Linked DNA regions of Arabidopsis thaliana. The protein of the gene in region 4 interacts with the protein of the main gene of each other region in a pairwise test. Each region holds a gene or a part of one and is shown on either strand. Other genes may lie near its edges.

Region 1 (2,970 bases), on a different chromosome or scaffold from region 4:
TACTACTGCCCACATCATATACTCATATTATTACTACAAAAAAGAGTTGCAGCAAAGGAACCATCCACATTGACACATAAACTAATTCCTCAACACTCTCTCATGCCATCATTACTTCTAACTCAAAGACTCTTCTACAAAGATCAGAGAATGCAATCCCACATTTGATTATACGAAACAAAGAGGATAAGAACCTAGAAAACAACTGATGTCATTCCTTTTAGTTTCTGGTTCTAACTACAAACAAAGATTCTCACTATAACAATCAACTGAAAACACTCTTTAGTTACATAAACCAATATCTTTACCACTTTCATGCTCACTACCATCTACTTCATAACCTCCAACGGATGATAGATTTTGAGGATAAGATCATTCAATGATGTTCATTTGAAGTGAACACATCAAATGCAAAATCAGTTTGATAGGCTTCTAAGCTAGTCAATGGATCAATAGACAGCTTTTAGTTTCTCCAACACAAGACGAACTATATACTCTGGGAAACCAAATCAGAAGCAAGAAAACAGCAATAAAGGATTCAAGAATGGGTGAAATCTTATGTATATAATAAGCTAAATGTATACAAAAGTACATACAAACAAACCATTCACAAAAGATTTTTCAAGTCTAATATCAGAAAGAGAAGAAAAGTTTTTGCCTTTTTCAATTCAATCACGGATCAATTAACTCGAACTCGTCTTCCTTAAGATGCGTGAAGAATTTGACAGGACCACGACCTTCGATCTCTTTCACGAACTGTACCTTAAACGGCAGATTAGCTGAGATTTTCTTTCCTTTCCAAAGAACGACGTAATCTTTGATAAAACCTTCCATTCCCATCAATTCAACCTCCGGTACACGAACCACATGGTAAACTTTCAACGGAACCGTAACCCTAACCCTAGCTCCAATCTTCTCCTTCGCTTTCTCGTCTTCCTCCGTCTCCAACGACGTAGATGACGATAGATCAGCGTCCGCGTCTACAGAAGCCGCCGATTTCACAGCAATATCGCAACGAATCGTCGATTTTGGATTCTTCCGCGAGATTGAGAAGGCGCATTTGCTTCGACCGTAGGAAGTAGATAATGAGATAGGTACGAAAATGGACGAAGATGAAGAGTTGATCGATTTGCGTCCACTAAGAGAAGCAGCAACTAGATAGTCTTGAGATGCCGGAGGACGAACGGCGGCGATAATCGCCGGTGACAGAGCGTAACTGTTAGTCATCTGCGTCCGAGCCGAAGAAAAAAATCTTAAGAAAGTGTGAGAGAAAACAAAAAAGATCATATCATTTAGCCCCTCATCTATTTATATTAGATGGTTAATTTAATCAAGGTGATTACTAATTTTGCTAATTATTTGGTTTAAATTAAAAGTCGGATTATTTTTGGATAAAGAAAGGCGACGCGTGTCAGACTTAAGACAATGTAAGAGATGAGGAACTTGTGGCTTCAGATAGAGAATCAACACTGTAAATATCTTGAGACAATTTCCAGATATTATTGGCAGGATTTTATAATAACACAAAACTAGTATATATAAACTTTTATATATCCACAATGGTTTCCAAATCAATTACCAAAATAAATGAAGTCTATTAAAAGAAACAAACAAAAAAGATAGGAAGAAGGCTTTGTGGTCTCAGCAATCATTTTTGGCATTATAGTAGCCATTGTTGTTATTAAGACAAGGATTTAGAGTAGCTTTCTTTCACCATTGTCTTAACAAAAAGCTCTCCTGCTCTATATGAAGATCTTACCTGCAAAAAGTATATATCCAATATCAAACAAGTACATTTCTGTATCTTCTATGTTCTCAGATATTTTTTGACATAAAGAGTAAGAAATAGTTTGTGGCTTTACCAGTGGACCACTTGCAACATAACGAAATCCTATTGATTCTCCGTATGTTTTCCAGAAATCAAACTTCTCAGGTGTGACATACTCTTTCACAGTCAGATGCAATGGAGTTGGCTTCATTGTGGAACAAGAGAAACGGTTTTAAATCGTAGATGTTCTTTGAAATTTGGGATCTTTCTATCTTGGAAATAGGAATATTGCGAATGATGTGGGGAATGTTGAAGTGATTAGTTTACCTGTAGATACTGGCCAAGTGTTAGAATATCAACATCTATAGCTCTTAGATCAGCCATTGCTTCCTTCAACTCTTCGTCTGTTTCTCCAAGACCAAGCATTATGGATGTCTTTGTGATCATTCCAGGTTTGCTGATCTTTGCATGTTTCAAAACTGACATGCTCTGCTCATATCTGCATTCTCCACATTATATCCACATTAAAATGGAGATTTACTACAACTAAAGATGCAGAACACCACCTATGTCTCACTTTAGGAGATATTTGACTGTGTAATATGAGATTGACATCCCGGAGCAGAGGATCAATTCACTGCTCAGCCCATCTATGCCATAACCAAATTTGCAGAACATATAAAAAAATGAAGAACAAGAAACAGCACTCACCCAGCCCTAGGATCCCTCACAAGTCGCTGGAGCCTTTTCACAGTCTCGACATTGTGAGCAAAAACATCCAATCCCGAGTGCACAAGAGTGTCGACAGCCTCCAAATCCCCACGAAAATCAGAAGTTAAGCATTCTATCATTATATCCGGCTTATGTCTCTACAGAGATGAGATATATATTTTCATTTTCATAAATACTCTGAAACAACATTCGAGAAATGCACAAAAAGGTATGCTTAAATAACATAATGCATAAACAAATAGAATATTAATAACCTTCATAGCTTTGACAGTCTGCGCAAAATGTCCACTTCCACCATCAGGTATATCGTCACGGTCTACGCTGGTAATAACTATGTAGTCTACACTGCAACAAAGGAAAATGCAAAATAGCATATCATGATACACCCATCATAAATTAACAAAGATGCAGTAGTGACTGTTGAGAGACACTATTTTTAATTTTCATCCCCTCTCCATTTATCCTATCTA
Region 2 (3,539 bases), on a different chromosome or scaffold from region 4:
GCGCGTGGTCGGTGAACACATTAACATAAATACGCGAGAAGAGACGCGCCGATTCATTTTTCTTCAGAATCTCTCAATTCTCTTTTGTCGATTTCGCAGTAGAAGAGTCCTTTCGCCGTCTCCGAGAAACTCGTTGCAGCGTCACGACCAGGTTTCCTTCTCACTTTTACTAAATTTTGTAATTGCTCGGTTTTTTGTTTAGTGCGAGTTTACTCTGGTCTGAAGAGAACATTTTGGGTCTGCTTATTTACAGTTGGAGAAAATGTCTTCTAGAGGAAAAAGGAAAGACGAAGATGTCAGAGCATCAGATGACGAATCTGAAACCCACGCGCCGGCTAAGAAAGTCGCAAAGCCAGCAGACGATTCCGACCAGTCTGACGATATCGTCGTCTGCAACGTTAGTCTACACTTTCTGTCTATCTTTCAATTTCGTTATCTACTCTATTAGCAGTGAGCTTATGGGTTTCGGTCAAGTTTTAATTTTGTTGATGTGTTTTGCTCAAAATTAGGGTTTTAATCAAATTAGGGTTCATGTTGGTTATACATCAGATATCTAAGAATAGGAGAGTCTCTGTAAGGAATTGGAACGGGAAGATTTGGATTGACATTCGTGAGTTCTATGTCAAGGACGGAAAGACTTTGCCTGGCAAGAAAGGTAACTTTATTTTGTAATTTAAACCAATGCCCCTTGGCTCTCATAATTCATTATTTCTAGTAATGTGTTTCCTCATCTCTTAGTTTTATATTTCGTTACTGTTTTGCTTTGTTAAGTTTCTGCATTTAGTCAGGTTTATAGAATTGCATATCTTAGGGTTTTATAATAGGCAATTCTGCTTATTGAGACTGTTTATGGACTTGTAAGTATGAGCGGAGATGGTGCAGAGTGTTTGCTTTTGTACAACAACGTTTTGTTTATTTTGGTGCTATTGCTCCTTCATGTCTTTCTCTAGAGACAGCTATATTAGTTTATCTCTACATAACTAATCATGTTGACAAGATTATCTCTATGTTTGTTATACGTTGCAGGTATCTCTCTAAGCGTGGATCAGGTACTCACATCTCTTTCTATCTCTCTCCACTGTTTTATGTCTCCTAGAAGTGTTTCTGTTTTCTTGTTATTTGCTTATTACACAGCTTTTCCTTAATGCAGTGGAACACTCTTCGGAACCACGCAGAGGATATCGAGAAGGCCCTCTCTGACCTTTCTTAGGTTTTAAAACTTGTATCATTGGTTGTACGTCTATTAGAATATGGCTCAGTTGTTTTGGTTGTTTTTGTAGAACAACACCATGTTCTGCTAGTGTAAGCTGCTTCAAATTAGTTGGTGTATGGAATCTTTCACTTTTGGTTCAGACAAGCTTTGGTTGGTATTAAGAATATAATGATTGCTCTTTTATTTACTGCTGTAGTGCTGTTTTATTTGCAAATTAAGATACGTTGCAGGAATACAAGTATTCATTTGATAAGTTATAAACAAGATAGGTCTAAATGTTACATAGCTCTTGCCAAACTTCACTTGATCCGGACAAGGCCATAAGCAGACATTGTCTTTGAAGATGAACCCATCACAATAAATGTATCACTCTGTGTTGCTACTTTCATTGCTATAGTTGCTCTTTTCCAAAGAATATTTACCTTCCCAAAAAACTCCCCCGTTTTAAGTTTGGCCGCGCGTGTTCTCAAACTGTGCGCTTGTAAAATGGCGTTCCGAATCTGATATCACAGTTGTAATTCGGTGAACGCAGTAGATATATTACGCGAGAAAAGGAGAGAGGTGCTTTTTATTTAACTTGAGAATCTCAAGAGTCAATTTTTGCAGTAGAAGAGTGTTTTTTTTAGAGGTTAAGAAAATGTCTGAGAACGGAAAAAGGAAAGACGAGGATGTCAGAGCATCAGACGACCGCGACGAATCTGAGACCCACGCGCCGCCTAAGAAAGTGGCAAAGCCAGCGGACGAGATTGAGGACATCTTCATCTGCAATGTTAGTCTCTCTACTATTCATCTCTTTTTTGTCTGTAGCAGTTCGTATGAGTTTTAGGGTTTGGATCAAGTTGTGATATTTGTTTATGATGTTATGTTTTGTTTACATTCCAGTTAGATAAGAATCGGAGAGTCTTTGTGAGGAATTGCAATGGGAGGATTTGGATTGCCATTCGTCAGTTCTTTGTCAAGGACGGTATAACTTTACCTTGTAATAGCAAGCAAGGTAAATTTTTGTTTTTAACTACATATCTTCTTTTGACTGTCTCTCTTCTTCTCACAATTCCACATTTGCTAATACTCTGTATCCTCCTCTCTTTTCTTTTTTATGGTCAACAATGTATCCTCATCCCTTTGTTTTCATGTTTTGTTTCGTTAAGGTTCTGCATTTAGTTAGCAGATCTTAGGGACTTTTATTATATATCTAGTACTTCTGCGGTTTGGGACTGAGAGGAGGAGATGCGCAGAGTGTTTTCTTTTCATCAACAACGTCTTGGTTTTTGTCTCCTAGGGCCAGCTATATTAGTTTGCTTTCTTTGCATAATCATGTTGACAAGATTTTCGATGTCTCCTATATGTTGCAGGTATCTCTCTAAGCCTGGAACAGGTATTCACATCTCTCTTCCATTGTTTATGTCTTCCACACGTGCATATGTCCTGCTTATTACACGAGACCTTTTTCTTAATGCAGTGGAACGATCTTCGGAACCATGAGGAGGATATCGATAAGGCCCTCTCTGAGCTTTCTGAGGTTTAAAAGCTTGTGTAATCGGGTATTGGAAGGTGGCTTTGGTTGTTTTGGTTTGTTTTTCAGAACAACACCATGTTCTGCAAGTGTTAGCTGCTTCGAGTTAGTTCATGTGTTGAATCTATTATTTGATGTTGATTACTCTTTTATTTGATGTTGGATTTACAACTTGAGATACGTTGCAGGAATACAAGCATTCATTTTGATTAGTTATAAATAATATATATAGGTGATCTAAATGATAACATAGCTCTTGCCAAAGTTTACTTAAATGATCCGGACATTGTGCTAGAGAGCTGGGACACTGAGCGATCCCACGTCAAGAACTCTGTGCAATATCTGCAGCAAACCAATCACGAAATGACAAATTATTAAGGCTGACAATCATGAAATAATATGGATATTTAAGGCATTTTCAAGGCTGAAGGAAAGGGAAGAGCTTTATGCTATGCTCATACCTCACCAACCCTAGCATTGATTTTCAATGGAACAATGTCATCAGCTCTTGTTTCGCCTATATTTACAATTGCGGTCATAGCACCAGCCTCATGAGCCGCTCTGCAAAAGGTATATAGAAAGCTTCTTAGTAAGATGCAAACTCAAAACTGGATGATTATTCTCCTGCATCACCTGCAAAGGCGAAAAGCAGACATTGTCATTAAGGATGAACCCAACACGAGGAATGCATCGCTCTGTTTTGCAACTTCCATTGCTTGAGTAGCTCTTTCCTTCGGGATGTTGTCTCCAAAGAAAATTACCTTCAATTCAACGAGAACATAATAAGAAACAGAGCTAAACTGATTCGTCTCT
Region 3 (3,848 bases), on a different chromosome or scaffold from region 4:
TGCCACTTTCTTAGGCGGCGCGTGGGTCTCAGATTCGTCGCGGTCGTCTGATGCTCTGACATCCTCGTCTTTCCTTTTTCCGTTCTCAGACATTTTCTTAACCTCTAAAAAAAACACTCTTCTACTGCAAAAATTGACTCTTGAGATTCTCAAGTTAAATAAAAAGCACCTCTCTCCTTTTCTCGCGTAATATATCTACTGCGTTCACCGAATTACAACTGTGATATCAGATTCGGAACGCCATTTTACAAGCGCACAGTTTGAGAACACGCGCGGCCAAACTTAAAACGGGGGAGTTTTTTGGGAAGGTAAATATTCTTTGGAAAAGAGCAACTATAGCAATGAAAGTAGCAACACAGAGTGATACATTTATTGTGATGGGTTCATCTTCAAAGACAATGTCTGCTTATGGCCTTGTCCGGATCAAGTGAAGTTTGGCAAGAGCTATGTAACATTTAGACCTATCTTGTTTATAACTTATCAAATGAATACTTGTATTCCTGCAACGTATCTTAATTTGCAAATAAAACAGCACTACAGCAGTAAATAAAAGAGCAATCATTATATTCTTAATACCAACCAAAGCTTGTCTGAACCAAAAGTGAAAGATTCCATACACCAACTAATTTGAAGCAGCTTACACTAGCAGAACATGGTGTTGTTCTACAAAAACAACCAAAACAACTGAGCCATATTCTAATAGACGTACAACCAATGATACAAGTTTTAAAACCTAAGAAAGGTCAGAGAGGGCCTTCTCGATATCCTCTGCGTGGTTCCGAAGAGTGTTCCACTGCATTAAGGAAAAGCTGTGTAATAAGCAAATAACAAGAAAACAGAAACACTTCTAGGAGACATAAAACAGTGGAGAGAGATAGAAAGAGATGTGAGTACCTGATCCACGCTTAGAGAGATACCTGCAACGTATAACAAACATAGAGATAATCTTGTCAACATGATTAGTTATGTAGAGATAAACTAATATAGCTGTCTCTAGAGAAAGACATGAAGGAGCAATAGCACCAAAATAAACAAAACGTTGTTGTACAAAAGCAAACACTCTGCACCATCTCCGCTCATACTTACAAGTCCATAAACAGTCTCAATAAGCAGAATTGCCTATTATAAAACCCTAAGATATGCAATTCTATAAACCTGACTAAATGCAGAAACTTAACAAAGCAAAACAGTAACGAAATATAAAACTAAGAGATGAGGAAACACATTACTAGAAATAATGAATTATGAGAGCCAAGGGGCATTGGTTTAAATTACAAAATAAAGTTACCTTTCTTGCCAGGCAAAGTCTTTCCGTCCTTGACATAGAACTCACGAATGTCAATCCAAATCTTCCCGTTCCAATTCCTTACAGAGACTCTCCTATTCTTAGATATCTGATGTATAACCAACATGAACCCTAATTTGATTAAAACCCTAATTTTGAGCAAAACACATCAACAAAATTAAAACTTGACCGAAACCCATAAGCTCACTGCTAATAGAGTAGATAACGAAATTGAAAGATAGACAGAAAGTGTAGACTAACGTTGCAGACGACGATATCGTCAGACTGGTCGGAATCGTCTGCTGGCTTTGCGACTTTCTTAGCCGGCGCGTGGGTTTCAGATTCGTCATCTGATGCTCTGACATCTTCGTCTTTCCTTTTTCCTCTAGAAGACATTTTCTCCAACTGTAAATAAGCAGACCCAAAATGTTCTCTTCAGACCAGAGTAAACTCGCACTAAACAAAAAACCGAGCAATTACAAAATTTAGTAAAAGTGAGAAGGAAACCTGGTCGTGACGCTGCAACGAGTTTCTCGGAGACGGCGAAAGGACTCTTCTACTGCGAAATCGACAAAAGAGAATTGAGAGATTCTGAAGAAAAATGAATCGGCGCGTCTCTTCTCGCGTATTTATGTTAATGTGTTCACCGACCACGCGCTGTTGCAGAGCGTGTGATAAAATTAGAACTGTGACAGTTGTTTTGATTCGGAACGCTTTTTTATAAACGCGAATTTGAGAAAACGCGGGAGCTTTTTTGCTTGGGAAAGGTGAAAACAAAAAGATTTGGACTTGGTTTGAAATCGCCGAACCCTTGACAAAACTCGATGGGGAATTTATTCGTGAAGAAACCGAAGATCACGGAGGTTGATCGAGCGATTCTCTCTCTCAAAACCCAAAGGCGCAAGCTTGGTCAATATCAGCAACAGGTTCTTGATTCCTTCGCCTTGTGATTTCGCATTTCTAGGGTTTATTCTTGCTCGAATTTGGTCTGAGACAGAAAGTGCAGTTTGATTCGATTCACTAATGGTTATGAATAAGGGTAAAGGTTACTGAATTTCGGCTATGGGTTCTCGAGGTTTAAGAAGCAGTTAAATGTAGAAGTTGCCTTCAGAATCTGTCTTGGATCCAAATGTTGATTCTTATGTCAAGCTAATGATGGTTTAATTATTTCATCGCCACTATTGGTAGATAGTGAGTTTGATCGCTGAGAAAGTGGAATGCAAATGTTTTTTTTTTCTTTCCTATGATCCTGAGCTTTGACCTTTCTTTCTCTTAAACCTTTCTTTTTAGCTTGAGAAAGTAATTGAAGCAGAAAAGCAAGCTGCAAGAGACTTAATCCGTGAGAAGCGAAAGGACAGGGCTTTGTTAGCATTGAAGAAAAAACGGACACAAGAAGAGTTGTTGAAGCAAGTAGATCAGTGGCTCATCAATGTCGAACAACAAGTAAATTGGCTTGACCTTCTTCTTATCATCTCCTTGTTTCCATCACATAACCTTAGTGCTATATAAACAGTACTTTTCTTTTCTTTTATAGCTGATTTTATGTTTTGAAAGAAACATAAACGAATATATTTTGAACCTGTCTTTATGACTCAGTTGGCAGATATCGAACTTACAAGCAAGCAAAAAGCAGTCTTTGAGAGCTTAAAGCAAGGTAACAATGCAATTAAGGCGATTCAGAGCGAGGTCAACCTTGATGATGTTCAAAAACTGATGGATGACACTGCCGAGGCCAAGGCTTATCAGGATGTGAGTTAATAGTGAATCTTGTTGTTCCTTTTTGTTTGTGTGGTTCGCTTATAGTTACAATCATTTGTCACATTTGCCGAGCTTCTCCTTGTTTTTCTCCTTCATGGTTATGAGTATTCCCTTGCTTGATCTAACTGTTAAACACTTTGATTTTAGGAACTGAGTGCCATATTAGGTGAGAAACTATCAGCGGAAGATGAAGAAGAGATCTTAGCAGAATTCGACAACCTAGAAAGTCTGGTATGCTACATAATGGATTCTCTTGTTTCTCAGATACAATTGTTTCCAGCATTATGACCGTACTGCCCTATTGATGTTTCGAGTACCACCATTTACTTTGTGAAACAATCTTCTTGAGTGGAGTCAAATGTGATATATAATGTTTGTTTGTTTTGAAGCTGATTGTTGAAGATATGCCTGAAGTGCCTACGACAGAGCTCATGCCTGAAGAACCCGAGAAAATGGATCTCCCTGATGTGCCAACAAAAGCACCAGTCGCTTCCAATGAAACCACTTCAACAAAGAGAAAAGGTTTTTGTGATGTTTGTTCAAGTAACAATTGCTTCATACAAAGAACCTTTAACTCATAGATGCTTTTGTTGTTGCAGTTCTTGAAGAACCTTTGGAAGCTTGATTCAGAAGTGAAGAATCTGATAGACTACTACATAGCCACCTCGGATTATAATCATTCTTTGGAAACCTTTTTGTTATGGGCTCTTGAAGATCTTTGTGTATTCTCTTCTTACTCCTGCAGCTTGTAAAGAACCAAGTTCATGGAGTCTCTCTCCTTGTAAAATGGTTTGGTTGTTTCTAA
Region 4 (4,271 bases):
TTTTCTTTATATATGGATACAAAGCATCAATGGTCACGACCTTACTTGAACTATAGGCTCGTACATCTGTTTTCTTGAGAAAATTTCTCAAGAGACAGGCCCTAAACCCTTGTTGATGAACCGTGACCGTGCGGCTTGAGCGTGATTGACGGCTACGATTGTCCTTGGATGCATCCGGTGCTGTAGAGGATGGTTACTCGGCTCGGTTCTCCCTTGCCGGGGTGGTCGCACGGCGGTCTGACAGGTTTCATTTTTTTTCCTTTTCACCCTGAAACTTTTAATTTCTTCTATTTTTCACCCGCTAATTTTATATTACTCTCCATCTGGTCCTTTTTAAAATTTCGACGTTCAAGTTTAATTTTAGAGGCTGAGAATATCTTCCATAACGCTTGGGACAAAGAAACTCTTAATTTTTGGTTGTGTGTTAAGTATTGTCACCTCAATTGATGTCAGTTTATTTGTTTGTATATCAGTTTTGAGGTTTCTGTTTTTATTTTGGTTCCTCAAAATAGGATTTAAAAAGCAATTTTGACAAAAAAATTATCATTCATAAAAGTATACTTTTACATTAAATCAGGCCAAAACTGATCTATTGGTCATCTCTCTGTTCTTCTTTTATACATTTCAGTGTCATAAATCTAATAGGCCAGACATATGGACAAGCTGAAAAAAGGTCATAAAAGGACTGCTTCTGAATCCTGAATCAACGGTATTCAAAAGACTTACCTCTTTAAGTATATCTGTGAAGAGATATAAACATTTTGGCTTCAGCAATCATCAACTACTACCCCCTATCATTGTTTGTTGTTGCTTGAGTCTCTGATTCCACAGGTGCAGCGACTGAGGAGTTGATCCGGTTTGATTTTCCGGAAGCTCTCTCATCAGATTTACTACCCCAGCAATGCTTTGCGAGATGTCCTTTCCTCCCACAGTTGTCACAGACGATGATGACTCTCTCGTCTCTCTCAGGTTCTTTCCTCTTCCAACCTACGCTCTGAGATCCTCTATGTGTTGTTCCTAGACTCGGTGTCCTTTCCATCTGAGAGGAGCCTGTGGCTGGTCTATATGTAACCCCTTTTGCTCCATTTCTGAGAAGCTCTTCCTCAGCTTTTACTCGTTCCATCAACATCCAGACTGGTAAATACTCCTCTTCCATTAACCTGGTGCAGAAGCCTCTCCAAGACGGGGGAAACTTGGAGATGATGGTACTCACATGAAATGCCTCATCAAGAAACATACCAGCACTCACTATGGAATCCGCAATCTTGTTAAAGACTTGGACTTGCTCGAGTATCGGTCTCTCTTCCACCATTCTGAATTCAATGTACTTTCTGACTTGTGACCTCTTCGATTTGGATTCATCACACTGGTAGACCCATTTTAACTCGTCCCACAATTCTTTGGCATGCTTAAATTTCTGAGAGTATCGACGGTATAGATGATCTGACAAGGAGTTCATCAAGTGAGTATAGCACAGGTAATCATCTCTCAACCATTTTTTCCCCGTAGCATCAGCTCGAGTTATTTCCCTGGGGTTGGTTTCAGGGCCTTGAGAGCTACCAATACTGGGACAAGGTTCAGAGAGTACATAAGTCAGCTTCAATTGCTTCAGAAAGAGTTCCATCTGTGAAGCCCAGTAAAGATAACTCTTTCCATCAAATCGTGAAATCTTGATAACAGAAAAACCGTGAGAGCTGTCCTTATCCACAGCCTCAGAAGTATCTCCATTTCGTGCTGCTTCAGATCTGCATAACGTTTAATAGCAAGATAAGCAGCCTACATTGCTAGCCAGACAGTAATGCCCTATGCCACGATGATTATATGACCATAAAACACTAAAAGCAATGCCAGGGAACATGAATCTTTATAGACTTAAAATAAGGTACACATTCTTACTTTAGTTTTGATTGGCACTGCTTAATACCGTCCTCTATCGCTGCAAAATTCTTCTTGATTACAGACCATTGGTTAGTTGACAAATGTGCTCCTGACAGAGAAGAAACATCTAACAATTGAAATCAACAGGAGCATATCTAAAACAAAAATGGCTACTTATAGCTTCATAGTCAAGACCAAGACACCAAGTTGTGTTTCAAATTACCTCTAAAAGCCTTTCCATGTTCCTGAGAACCAATCGATAGAAAAGGTTGGCCTCTGTATCTTTGAACCGTCGCATTTTGCTTCTCCGATAACTACAGTTAAAGACCAACAATTTCTACAGTGACCACTGAAAAACTCAAAATCGAGATGATCACAATCTCTACTCTATACAGTGAATCAAACATAGAACAAATAGGCAAAGTCGCAACCTTACAAATAAAGCGCTCATCTTCACCACCAACGGAAGCGGCAGCAACAGAAACTGTCTCATTTTTCGCCGGAGCCACCGTCTCCGGTACGAGTGCTTCACCGGGAGTCGATAGCAAAAAGACCTCAAGAACATCTCTGACTAGCTTCTTGTGATTGGTTCCCGATAAGTCGATACCGAGTTTAGCCGAAGCGTCAAGTCGGAGTTTGAACTCCGTCATTTGGTCCATATCAGATTCACTGAGTATGCTCTTCACTGTTTCCTCGATTTTTTGTGTAGCGACAATCTCCATAGTTTCACCAGAATCAAGCAACGAATTCTCCATTTCGCCCGAAAAAGAAGAAAAAAAAGGATAAAGAAAAAGATTTCGCAGTAGCGTCGAGTTTTGGTTGTTGGCCGGCGTTATATTTAGGGTTCATAAATCGCCGGGGGAAAAAATTTGGCCGGAGTGTGAAAAAAAGAGGTTCTACCGAGAATTGAACTCGGGTTACTGGATTCAGAGTCCAATGTCCTAACCGCTAGACCATAGAACCTTTTTGCTATAGCTGTTGCATTTAATACTTTATATATGCAAATATATATATATGAGTTTTTTTTCCTTATCTATATATCTTTTCTGTTTTATAATACGATATATGAATACATGGGTGAGATACGAATACGATTGAGAAATATATGGGTGAAATACAGTTTTTCTTCACGAAGCCGATAAGATACTAAGAGTCGAATCCTTCTAGAAACTAAACCGACAGAAAGCAAATTATTTTTGAAAATTAAGCTCAAACAAAAGAGGCTAAATATAAAGATAGCAAGGTAATAGTCATTAACATTTGTTGTGAATAATCTAGTTTGGGCTAATGTTAATCTTGTTTTACTTGTCTTCTCACTGCATTGCAGCTTAAGAAATTAGTATTGCATGCTGCGAGCTCAGACTCAGCCAGAGGGCTAACCCAACAGATTTTGATGCCTAAAACATCTTTAAGCTCATTTAAAATTCTTAAGCATTTTAAATCTATTTATAATTAAAGTCTCAAAAAAACGAAGGTAAGGTTCGAACTGTCCACGAAAGAGTCACTAATCTATGAAACAATCACTAGACTACGAAACATTTTTAAAATTTGATGCCCTTTAATATTATCTATAATTTTAGGCGCGTAAAGCATGAGTTTCACCAACTTTAGCCCAGGGCCGGCCCTGCTCAGCCATAAGAGAAGCAAAAGATGTAATGCAAAACTCCAATACGCAGTAATGATAACAAAAAAAAGTTTGTTCGTTAAAGCTTATCAATGCTTACAAAACATCAAAACCAACTTGACATGTGATGGCAGTAACAAAATCGAGAAGGCGATGCTAAAAGTAACTTCATAAACTAGATTGATCAAAAGTACTCATAGCTTCGGAATCAACATAAGACACCAAATATGTTCAAGTCACCTTTAAAAGCAAGTTAATAGCCAACAAACAATGTGCATTTCACATTTCGCTTCTCCAATAACTAATGCCTAACAATTTACAGAAAACATCACTTCTTTCCTCGACAATCCATTGTATTATTTTCGTGAAATGTCATCATAGAAGAAGCACTTAAAATGAAAATTGGGTTGGCCCATGAATTTGAATTCTCTAACCCAAGACCAAAACCCATAAAAGTTATTTACGACCATCGAACCACTTTTTTTTTTTTTTTTTTAACGGCAAACATTTTTCTATTAATTAGCCCAAATGGGCTTCATAAACAGGTACAACTTGAGGCCAAAAGCCCACTAATTGCAAACATTAAATAGACAATATGATGACACATGTATGCAATGTGGAGATTGCAGCGTAGATCAACGTTTCAGCACATGCCCCGTCACTGCTTCGCCGGAGAAATCTTCCGCCGGTCAGCAAATGATTCAGCTCCTCCATGAAACTTTCTACCCACATTTAGTTGTACCGAATGCCTTTTGCCAAGGATCACCGG

The links.
Region 1: the proteins of AT4G00980 (region 4) and FTRA2 interact in a two-hybrid assay, tested with the Arabidopsis thaliana proteins (one large-scale study listed by BioGRID).
Region 2: the proteins of AT4G00980 (region 4) and AT5G09240 interact in a two-hybrid assay, tested with the Arabidopsis thaliana proteins (one large-scale study listed by BioGRID).
Region 3: the proteins of AT4G00980 (region 4) and KIWI interact in a two-hybrid assay, tested with the Arabidopsis thaliana proteins (one large-scale study listed by BioGRID).

Annotation. Positions count from the first base shown.
Region 1 is NC_003076.8:2,709,302-2,712,271, forward strand, and holds FTRA2 (ferredoxin/thioredoxin reductase subunit A (variable subunit) 2), read right to left. Parts: upstream 1,298-2,970; 5' UTR 1,288-1,297; coding exon 673-1,287; 3' UTR 509-672; downstream 1-508. Other genes in the region: AT5G08415 (Radical SAM superfamily protein), read right to left, coding at 1,682-1,759, 1,863-1,973, 2,096-2,267, 2,480-2,637, 2,755-2,845. UniProt on the Arabidopsis thaliana protein: Variable subunit of the ferredoxin-thioredoxin reductase (FTR), which catalyzes the two-electron reduction of thioredoxins by the electrons provided by reduced ferredoxin.
Region 2 is NC_003076.8:2,873,092-2,876,630, reverse strand, and holds AT5G09240 (ssDNA-binding transcriptional regulator), read left to right. Parts: upstream 1-1,781; 5' UTR 1,782-1,850; coding exon 1,851-1,982; intron 1,983-2,095; coding exon 2,096-2,207; intron 2,208-2,492; coding exon of another isoform or gene 2,493-2,565; coding exon 2,566-2,738; 3' UTR 2,739-2,971; downstream 2,972-3,539. Other genes in the region: KIWI (ssDNA-binding transcriptional regulator), read left to right, coding at 263-397, 550-655, 1,027-1,145; SRT2 (sirtuin 2), read right to left, coding at 3,018-3,068, 3,188-3,287, 3,360-3,487.
Region 3 is NC_003076.8:2,874,688-2,878,535, forward strand, and holds KIWI (ssDNA-binding transcriptional regulator), read right to left. Parts: upstream 1,923-3,848; 5' UTR 1,793-1,922; intron 1,691-1,792; 5' UTR 1,682-1,690; coding exon 1,547-1,681; intron 1,435-1,546; coding exon of another isoform or gene 1,395-1,434; coding exon 1,289-1,394; coding exon of another isoform or gene 1,272-1,288; exon of another isoform or gene 918-1,271; coding exon 799-917; 3' UTR 794-798; coding exon of another isoform or gene 734-793; 3' UTR 501-733; downstream 1-500. Other genes in the region: AT5G09240 (ssDNA-binding transcriptional regulator), read right to left, coding at 1-93; VPS20.2 (vacuolar protein sorting-associated protein 20.2), read left to right, coding at 2,110-2,211, 2,576-2,728, 2,882-3,034, 3,191-3,274, 3,433-3,565, 3,643-3,668. UniProt on the Arabidopsis thaliana protein: General coactivator that functions cooperatively with TAFs and mediates functional interactions between upstream activators and the general transcriptional machinery. Binds single-stranded DNA.
Region 4 is NC_003075.7:421,948-426,218, forward strand, and holds AT4G00980 (zinc knuckle (CCHC-type) family protein), read right to left. Parts: upstream 2,642-4,271; 5' UTR 2,634-2,641; coding exon 2,310-2,633; intron 2,193-2,309; coding exon 2,102-2,192; intron 1,988-2,101; coding exon 1,897-1,987; intron 1,746-1,896; coding exon 785-1,745; 3' UTR 531-784; downstream 1-530.